2 linked regions of the Caenorhabditis elegans genome follow. The protein of the gene in region 1 interacts with the protein of each later gene in a pairwise test. Each region holds a gene or a part of one and is shown in the gene's direction. Other genes may lie near its edges.

What was found.
Region 2: the proteins of Y52E8A.2 (region 1) and zip-12 interact in a two-hybrid assay, tested with the Caenorhabditis elegans proteins (one large-scale study listed by BioGRID).

What each region holds. Positions count from the first base shown.
Region 1 is NC_003280.10:4,318,928-4,322,346, forward strand, and holds Y52E8A.2 (RING-type domain-containing protein), read left to right. Parts: upstream 1-1,908; 5' UTR 1,909-1,927; coding exon 1,928-2,016; intron 2,017-2,065; coding exon 2,066-2,468; intron 2,469-2,521; coding exon 2,522-2,608; 3' UTR 2,609-2,690; downstream 2,691-3,419. Other genes in the region: Y52E8A.6 (UNC93-like protein MFSD11), read right to left, coding at 213-336, 385-460, 505-601, 648-835, 885-1,042; Y52E8A.1 (RNA helicase), read left to right, coding at 3,139-3,318, 3,365-3,419.
Region 2 is NC_003281.10:12,325,625-12,332,825, forward strand, and holds zip-12 (BZIP domain-containing protein), read left to right. Parts: upstream 1-2,042; 5' UTR 2,043-2,322; coding exon of another isoform or gene 2,323-2,361; intron 2,362-3,839; 5' UTR 3,840-3,840; coding exon 3,841-4,188; intron 4,189-4,948; coding exon 4,949-5,248; intron 5,249-6,040; coding exon 6,041-6,193; intron 6,194-6,416; coding exon 6,417-6,638; 3' UTR 6,639-6,650; downstream 6,651-7,201.

The sequences.
Region 1 (3,419 bases):
AGATAGGCAGGCAAAAAGCAAAAAAAATCTGCCTACTTCCCTGACAACCTACGCCTGCCCGATGATGGGCTGTATATGTGCCTACTGCCGAGCAGCTGAACTTTCATTAACAGTCAAAATGAAATAATCTTCAGTCAGTGACATTGTGCTCACACTCAATTTAGATTAGGTGGTAGGCAGGCAGGCATAAAGGCGACCTACCATAAACTCACTCAATGTCTTCGCGAACGTCTCATGCTTCTTTCTCTCCGGAACATACACTGATTGTGGCAGAAATGCCGTGTTAATCGCCGCCAATAGAGAAATGGAACAACAGATATAGACGAATGTTTTGTACTGAAAATTGGCAGAATTAGAAACAGATGGATGTTGGAAATACAATACATCTCCAGATTCCAGAAATTCGTTCATTTTTTGATTGTAGAACAGAACGTAGAGAAATATTCCACCACCGAGGAGGCTTGAAAAATCAAAATGGTACAGAGAATTGATGGAAGTACTCACCAGAACTTAAAAATGAACCAAGTCAGAGCAATATTTCGTTCAATAGTTTCACTTGTGCAGTTTTCCGTCAGATATTTTCCCTGGCCAACCCATATGACTGAAAGTTTCAGAACATTTGCGAAGCCCTCCTGATTCATACTTACAAGCACCACCGACACCCAAACTCGCTGAAGTAATGTACACATAATAAGTATTCATATGTATAAATCCATATTGAAATGCAATATATGCCGAAAATCTCAGAACCATTCCCCATTTCGCGGAAATCTTATCAATTATTGGAGCAACAAATAGGCAAGAAAGTGTGAAAAAGAAGTAAGTTATAGCAAAACTAAAATCAGTTTTGCTTTTGAAAAAGTGACCATATAGAAGAGACAAACCTATGATAACCGGCGTGAGGATCAATATTCCCACCGGTTTTATGCTTTTCCTCGATAAGTGGTTCTTGTATGTATTCTTGACTCATATAAGCAAAAAATAGGAGCAAAAATGAAATCGATAGTCGGAGCACATTTTTCGTCCCTTGGTCAATAGCCATATCCGAAATCGGAAGCCTCTAGATTTTTATTCCTGTAAAAACTACAAATTTGAAACAAAGTTTCAAAAAAAAGAAACTTGAAAAAAAATAATTTATGACTTGGAAAAAATATCAAAGGTTTATGACAAAGACAAAAACTAGGCACTCTACTTTTTGTCATTTTTTATACTATCCAACAATATTATTCTTCTCCTTTTTCAGTCATCAGTGAAACTTTTTTCCGAATAATCCAGAAATTTGCATAATTCCCTTTAATTTGGAACGTTCAATTCGAGAAACTTGTTCAAAAACCGTCAATATGTATCGAAACGAGGAACTAACACAGCCAAGCATCAAGTAATTGTATTTTTACTATAAAAGTGTTTTTTTTGGAATTGTAAATAAACCTTTTTCAACATGTGGTTTCCTCTTAAAACCTCTTTTATTTTTAATTCTGTGCCTGGAAATTTCAAAGACGCGGCGGGATCTTGGCCCGATAAAACTTTGTGCGCCTTTAAAAATGGGTACGGTAGGATTTAATTTCCGCTTTGGCTTTTTCGTTCAGAAAGATGTCAATTAAATTCAAATTTTCCTTATTTTATTTGTTTTTTTTTTGGAAATAATATTGAAAAATATATAAATTATTCAACAAATTCGAAATTCTTAATTTTACCTCCATTTAAATTAATTAACTACTCAATCGTTGCGAAACCCGTGCAAGAATTATACCATGTCCCTTGAAGCGGTACGGTAGGCCCACGTTTTGTTTGCCACGCTGGATTTATCGATTTTTCGGATCTTTTCTGAATTGTGCAGCTTTCTCTGTGTGATTTTGTCGTTAACTGGTTTTAAAAATATTATTTTTCCCAGAATATATTAAGTTTTAGAGTTTATCGATTGGAAATCATGGTAAACACGTTGGAAGGCCTAGAATCGACGAGGAATTTGATTTTGAAGGAAAATCCAATGCGACGAGCCGCGGAACTTGTCGCCAGGTATTTTTAATTACGGCATTCAACTAAAATTTTAATTTGTATTTTTCAGACTATCGGCAGATGAAGTTACGATGCGTGCCGCGAAATACGAGCTGATCAAGTTCAATCGAGCATTCCAGAATTTCATGCTAGTGTTGGATGAGAATATTGAAGAGATTCTGATGTCAAACGACAATTCTACTCGAATTCAGCTCAAGAAGCTTCCGGAATTTCCATCCTTCTCGGATTCGTTTATGCAAGAATATGAAAAAGCTCTTCTGAATGGCGCAGAGAAGCTCAAAGCTTCAACCTCCAGCGAAAAAGGATCCATCCCGTCAGTCTCCTTTTCTTCATCAATTTCAAGCTCTAGCGCCGAGCTATCAGATGCTCGATGCCTTATCTGTCTGGACGACGTTATTTCGACTGAAAAAACTATCAAATGCAATTCGTGTAGACGTCGGTTTCATCTCGATGTAAGATTATTCATTTCAAAAACCTTTTCATAAATAAATTTCAAAATTTTCAGTGCGCTTCCCAATGGTTCAAGGAAAAGAGCGTTTGTCCAGCTTGTAATCGAGGGATGCTGGATCCAACGGAATTTCCATCTCTTTAATACCTCGTTTTAATTAATTTTTCAATAATTTCATGTGTAATTCGTTTTGCTTTTTAATAATTACAGTTGTAATAAAACTATAACATAGCTTTTGGAGTGGTTTCGACGTCGATCAGAATTTTTCGGGATGTCGACTGAACTTGACTTGCATAAATTCAATCGCCTTAAAAAACACAGAAATTCGAACTTTTCTTATTTTTTTTCGGACAAAAAATTGAGAAAAAACGAAAAATTAATTTTTACAAAAAAATTAAAAATAAAAAAAACTCGAACATTCTATGAATTTACAGCCAAAATCATGCCAGACGCAATTCTACCGGACAATGATGATGATTTGGAGATGAATGAAGAACAGGAAGAGCCTCCTAGCTCAGGAAACGTGAAAAATGAAGATTTTGAGGAAATTGAAGAAGCTGTCAAGGGCGAGGAAAAACTAAGTTTCAGATAAAGAAAAATCCGATGGAGAAGAAGGCGATGAATTCAAGTCATCAGATGACACCCCAAAGCCCATTCAAATCTCCGAAGACAACATGACAACTAAGAAATTCTCCCAGCTCGGCGTGTGCTCCTGGATCAACCAACAGCTCGAAACTATGCAAATTAAAACTGCGACGCCGGTTCAGGCGGCTTGTATTCCAAAAATTCTCGAAGGAAGCGAGGAACCGGAGCCGGTCCCGGAGCATGAAATTCTTACTGTTGTAATTAACAAGGTATACATCCCGAACACATCCAGTATACTTATACAGATTTTTTCAGACATCCAGTCAACATTTTGGATGCCATATTACAATCTCAAATGGCATCGCCAAGG
Region 2 (7,201 bases), on another chromosome or scaffold:
GTTGAGTAGAAAAGTGAACATACAAGTTCAGAAACTTCAGGATTTTCACAGGTGCAATTTGCCGATTTACCAATTTGCCGGGCATTTCCAATTCCGGCAATTTGCCGGTTTGACAATTTGCCGTAATATGAATTTGCCGGAAGTGTGTAGAGGGATTTTTTATAAGAAGGAAACACTTAAAACCGTGCCTTAAAGAATTGTTTCCCATTTTCTTCAGATATATTCATAGAATTTACGGACTTTCCAAAATAGATGAAGGGTCATTTCTAGGGTGTGTACAATTTTGCCAATCAAAATTGAAATTCTGAAATTTCCAAAACAAAATTTGCTAAACCACAATTTGGCCGTTTTTCTGGCAAATCGGCAATTCGCCGGTTTGCCGATTTGACGGACATTTTCAATTCCGACAACTTGCCGATTTTCCGGAAATTTGCATGGGCCGCTATTTTTGATAAATTTAGTGAATTCTAGAAAAAAAACTGGAAAACTGGATGCAATATGATAATAAAACTTGATGAAAAAAAGCTTTTTTAGGTTGGTCAATCTATAAAATATTGAAATTCCTATTAAAACGAAAGATTTTGAAAACTAGTTTTCCTACTACTAAAGATTACTTCACCCTTTAAATTTAAAAAACTGAAAAGTCCTCGAAAATTTTTTTAAAGGTTTACATTTTTTTTCGAGCAGTTTCAACTTCCAGATAAACTTTCAGCACTTTTTCAGTTTTTCCAATCCAAATTATAGTTGTTTTCAATCAAATCAAATACTTTTCTATACTTTATCATTAAATGTAGACTTGGAAAACACATTTCAAATCGGCAAGTTGCTGGAATTAAAAATTTCCGGCAAATCGGCAAATCGGCAAAATGTCTTTTTGCCGAATTGGCCAGAAAAACGGCAATTGCCGGATTTGAAAATTTACAGCATATCGGCAAATTGGCAAATCGTCTATTTGCCGGATTGAAAAACTGCAATAGCCGGAAATTTTTGTCAAAATAAAAAAGCAAGTTCTATGAAAATATCTAAACATAACAGGAAACGAATTTTTCAAAAAGGCACAGTTTTAAGTGTTTCCGTCTTTAAAAAAACCCCTCTAAAAATTTCCGGCAAATCTGATATCCGGCAAATGGCAACTCGGCAAATTGCCGTAATTTTTTTTTGGCAAATCAGAAAATTGCCGGAACTGAAAATTCCTGGAAAATCGGCAAATTGTCGTAACTGAAAATTTCCGGCAAATCGGCAAATTGCCGGAACTGAACGTTTCCGACAAATCGGCAATTTGTCTAAAACAAAAATTTCCGGCAAACCGGCAAATTGTCGAAAATGAAAATTTCCACTTCAACAATGAAACATTTTTCCTGTAGGCTTCAGACAAAAATTATATTTCGTCCTTTAATCCTTTTTTAATCAGGTTTCACTTCACTGTGAATCTAATGAATTATATTATTAAAACTGAAAATTCCGAGAATTCATTTGGATAAATTCTAAAATCAGGGTTTCAACTACCAAAATATTACATGGATTCTGCTCAAGAATACATTGTTCTTCATTTTTTCAAACCTTTCTCGAGCCACAGAACCGCTTTTGCTACATGTCCTGGAAAGATTTATCTTTCATTTTTCGCTGTAATGCTTCATTGTAATGCTTCATTGCGTCCCATTTCGGTTTGATCTACAAAAATTGCGGGGAAAGAGACGCAGAGTTCTCAACTGATTTTGCATGGTTAAGAACGTGCTGACGTCACATATTTTTGGGCGAAAAATTCCCGCATTTTTTGTAGATCAAACCGTAATGGGACAGCCTAGCACCACGTGATGCTTCTGAAATTTGGTTTTGGAATGGGTTTCTATAGATACCTTTTTTCAGCTTTTGATATGCCTTTCCAACCCATTTTTATACAATATAATACCTAATTAATCTGTCAATTGCATTTACATCCATCGAATGTACAATTGCGATGTATTGGAAATTACAGCAATCAGTGCCCATCCCCCATCAACAGTCTCTTATCAATCTTGCTAATCACCTTCACTGTCCCCCCCCCCCCCCACTGTCTCAACCACTGCTCAGATACCAAGTATGTCGCACAGTATTTCCTACTCTGTTTTCTCTAAGGCTCTCACATCTTTCCTCTGACTATTTCTCATTTTTTTGATGCTGCCCTCCTCCTCTATTCAATACAATCAAACGATGTCATGATGCAGGCAAACATCATGCATTCACTGTCTTCACTCTTCTTAGCAAGAAGTTGTGTTCTCTTATCACACACACACACACACACACACTGTCTCCCCCACCATTGGTCTCTTGCCTTTTTTTTGACTGACAACGACGATTTTGAATCTAAGGAACTGGGGATAGGTATGTTTTGAAATTTTGGTTAGGAAAATATGGAAGGATCAAGCTCCGCCCTTGATGATTACTGTAGATTCCTGAATGCATCAGTGAGTTCACGATGGGCATCAGGGCTCTTACATTAGGGGCCAAATTGCCGAAGTTCCGAAGTTTCCGCAACCAGAAGCTGCCGGTTGCAGAAACTTTGGCAATTGCCGGTTGCTGGCGACGTGTATGTATATCTCGCGTCCAAAACAGGGTGGGTGGCAATTGTCGTTTGGCGAAATCGGCAAGTCGGCAATTTGCCGGAATAAAAAATTACCGGCAAATCGGCAAATTGCCGGAATTAAAAATTTCCGGTAAATTGGCAAATTGCCGGAATTAACTATTTCCGGCAAATCGGGCATATCGGCAAATTGCCGGAATTAAAAATTTCCGGCAAATCGGAAAATTGCCGGAATTAACTATTTCCGGCAAATCGGGCATATCGGCAAATTGCCGGAATTAAAATTTCCGGCAAATCGGAAAATTGCCGGAATTAACTATTTCCGGCAAATCGGGCATATCGGCAAATTGCCGGAATTGAAAACTTCCGGAAAATCAGCAATATGTCGAAACTGAAATTTCCTTTAAATCGGTAAAATGCCGGAATTAAAATTCCCGGATGATCGGACAAATCGGCAAATTGCCGGACCTAAAAATTACCGGTAAATTGCCGGAATTAAAAAATTCCGGTAAATTGGCAAATTGCCGGAATTAACTATTTCCGGCAAATCGGGCATATCGGCAAATTGCCGGAATTAAAATTTCCGGCAAATCGGAAAATTGCCGGAATTGAAATTTCCTTTAAATCGGTAAAATGCCGGAATTAAAATTCCCGGATGATCGGACAAATCGGCAAATTGCCGGACCTAAAAATTACCGGTAAATTGCCGGAATTAAAAATTTCCGGCAAATCGGCAAAATGCCGGAACTGAAAATTTCCGGAAAATCGGCAAATTGCCGGAATTAAAATTTCCGGAAGATCGGTAAATTGCCGGAATTGAAATTTCCGGCAAATCGGGCAAATCCGCAAATTGCAGGAATTAAAAATTTCCGCCAAATCGGAAAAGCGGCAAACTGTCGATTTGCCGAAATTTCCGGAAAAACGCCTTTTGCCGAAAATGTTTGGCAAATTATGATTTTGCACTTTTTTTTTGGAAATTTCAAAATTTCAATTTTAATCGGCAAACTTTTTTCCTACATTAATGTTGAAAAATCCCTTTTAAAATTTCTGGCAAATCGGCAATTTGCCGAAAATCAAAATTTCTGGCAAATCGGCAAAATTAGTGTTTTGATAAGAATCAGCAAACTTTCTCATAAGTTCGTTACAAAAACAGTCGCGAACCAATAAGCGAAAGACGAGGAACCAATAAGCGAAAGACGATGCGAAAAATTTTTTAAAATGCACAATTGGGCCTGGCCCGAAAGTTTCAGACAAGACCAAAAAATTCCAAATTTTACAGAATGAATAACGAAACAAGTGGCAGTCGTGACATGATTCTAAAACACTTTGACTCCACGCAAAACAACCAGAATTCGGTAAAGCTGGAACACGAGTCGTCAGATAACAATGAATCGTCAGGCTCCCAGAACTTTGTATTCAACTTTTTAATGAGCCAACTGCAAAACATGGGTCCAGTGGAGATAAAACAAGAAGTAGAGGCGAAGATGTTGGATGATATAGAAGATGAGTACACTGATAATAATTACAATGAAGGCTACTCAAAGATGGATACAGATGGGGATTTGGAGTGGGAAGAGGAATTTAAGAAATTGAATAAAGATCCGAGTAAGATGGACAAGAGAGAACAGGTTTGTGTGGATTTTTTACAACTTCTAGTACAAAATTTAGGTTAGATGTACATGCCCGCCTAACGCCTATTTTTTGTAGTGTAGAAAAAGATTTGTTATATCTGAAAATAATTTCCAAATTTTTCTGAAAAGCCTCACTCAAATCAGGATAGCAATTGGGGCTCAGCAAATTTTTTTGTCGACGAATTTGGCAAATCGGCAAATTGATGGTTTGCCGATTTGCAAAAAATTATGATTTCCGGCAAAAAAAAACTGCCGATTTGCCGTTTGCCGGAAGTTTTCAATTCCGAAAATGTACCGATTTTCCGATTTGCCGGAAGCTTTAAATTCCGGCAGTTTGCTGATTTGCCGATTTGCTGGAAGTTTTCAATTCCTGAAACTTACCGATTTGCCGGAAATTTTCAATTCCATCGATTTTGCCGATTTGCCGGAAATTTTCAATTCCATCAATTTGCCGATTTGCCGGAAATTTTCAATTCCGGCAATTTTTCGATTTCCCAATTTTGCCCGAAAAAAATTTGCCGGAAAATTTGATTTTCAGCAAAAAAAAAATGCCGATTTGCCGGAAATTTTGCTTTTCCGCAATAAAACTGCCGATCTGCCGGAATTTTGATTTTCGGCAAAAAACTGCCGATTTGCCGGAATTTTGATTTTCGACAAAAAATGCCGATTTGCTGGAAATTTCAATATCGGCAATTTGCCAATTTGCCGGAAATTTCAACTTTGGCAAGAATATCAATTTTAAATCCAAATTATTCAGGAACGTCACCGTCAAATGGCCAAAAACCGTGAGTACGCCCGAAAGTGTGTTCAAAAGAAAAAAGATCAACGAAAGCATGCGGAAATTCGAAGTAATCAAATCAAAAAACGCATTCAACTTCTCAAAAATAAAACGGCGATAAAAGAGAAAAATGCGAATTTTGCAGTGGATTTGAGAAAAATGATGTCAGAAATTGGAGTAGAACGGCTGAAATTGGAATATGAAAATGAGAAAATGGAATTGAATAAGAAGTTTGCTGAAATGTTTGCACAGGATGAAACTGTTAATTTGAATTTTCATGTAGGTTTTTTCTCTAAATTTCAAAAAAAAAGTGACCAATTTGCCGAAAATTTATTTTGCCGGTTAGCCGATTTGCCAGAAATTTTCAATTCCGGCAATTTGTCGATTTGCCGGAAATTTTCAACTCCTGAAGTTTGACGATTTGCGGAAATTTTCAATTTACCGATTTGCCGGAATTTTTCAATTCCGGCAATTTGCCGATTTGCCGGGAATTTTCAATAACGGCAATTTTCCGATTTGCCAGAAATTATAAATTCCGGCAATATGCCGATTTGCCGGAAACTTTCAATACCGGCAATTTGTTGATTTGTCGAATTGCTGGAAATTTTTCAATTCCTGCAATTTGCCGATTTGCCGGAAATTTTCAATTCCATCAGTTTGCCGATTTGCCGGAAGTTTTCAATTTGCCGATTTGCCGGAAATTTTCAATTTGCCGGTTTGCCGGAATTTTTCAATTTGCCGTTTTGCCGAAAATTTTCAATTTGCCGATTTGCCGGAATTTTTCAATTTGCCGATTTGCCGATTTGTCAAAAAAATAGCGAATAAATAAAAAAGTCCTACTTTAGTTTGAGTTTTTTCAAAAATGCAAAACTGAGAACTGCGACCAATCAGCGATTTGCTCCGCCCACTTTTCCACCAATCAGATCGAGTGGGCGTAGTTCAAAGATGGTGATTGGTCGGGGAGTTCTCCTTAGTTTGTAAATCCCGTTTTTAAACTTTTTTTGTGGAATTTCTGAATTTCCGACTTTTTCTTTTGAAAAGTCAATTTTAAAATTATTAACCAAATTATAGAGGCTCGCCAGTGCTCGAGAAGAATTTGAAAAAGCTGCTGAAGACCTACGTCTAAAAAACGGAGTAATTGGGACTTTAGGTTCCCGAAAAATCCGAGCAAAGCAGCAAATGGAGTGGAGACAGCATTTGTATCAAATATCTGCACATGAACATGTTCGTTTATATAAATTCTTACCTGAAACAGTCAAAATGAAGAAAATCCCGTTAACTGAAACATTGGGGAGAATGCTCAAAAATTGGCCTAAATTAGCCTAAAGTTCTAGTTGAAAAAAATTTTATTTCGAGACGAATCATGTAATTTTAGTTCATTTTTTAGAATTTCCCAATAAAATTGTAAATTTTTCCAGAATATTTTTTTAAAAATAACTTATTACAGGAGCATCATCGTGAGACAAAACTTGCCGAGTTGGCAGACGAATATGTTAAGCAAACGGTACCAAAAGCTGCTCCCCTAGTCACCTCAATTCCTAAAGACATGTTAGATCAACTAATTAAAAACAATAAAACTTTGGATTTGGAAGAGCTGTGCCGTTTTGTTGCTGATAATTTGTGTTTGTTACAAAATGATAATGATGATAAAGAATCTGTTGTTAAATAAATTATGGAATTTATCCGATGGTTGTACTTTTTGAAAATGTGTTCTTATTCATTTATTCTCCTTGTAGTCTAAATATTTTTGCCGGAATGGAACATTTCCGGCAAGTTCGGCGAACCGGCAATTTGCCGGACTGGATATTTTCTGACAAGTTAGGCAAACCGGCAATTTTTCGGAATGGAAATTTTCTGTCAAACCAGCAAATTGCCGAATTTGTAAATTTCCGGCAAATCGACAAATTGCCGGAATTGAAATTTCCGGCAATTCGGCAATTTGACGGAAAGGAAAATTTCCGGCAAGTGCGGCAAATCGGCAATTTGCCGGAAAAAAACACTTCGGCAAGTTGTGGGTTTGCAAGTTTATTTTCTGGAAATTTCAGAATTTCAAAACGATAATCGCAACATTGCCATAATTGAATTTTCTGGCAAGTTAGGCAAACCGGCAATTTTTCGGAATGGAAATTTTCTGACAAGTTAGGTGAACCGGCAATTTTTCGGAATGGAAATTTTCTGGCAAGTTTGGCAAACCGGCAATTTTTCGGAATGGAAATTTTCTGGCAAGTTTGG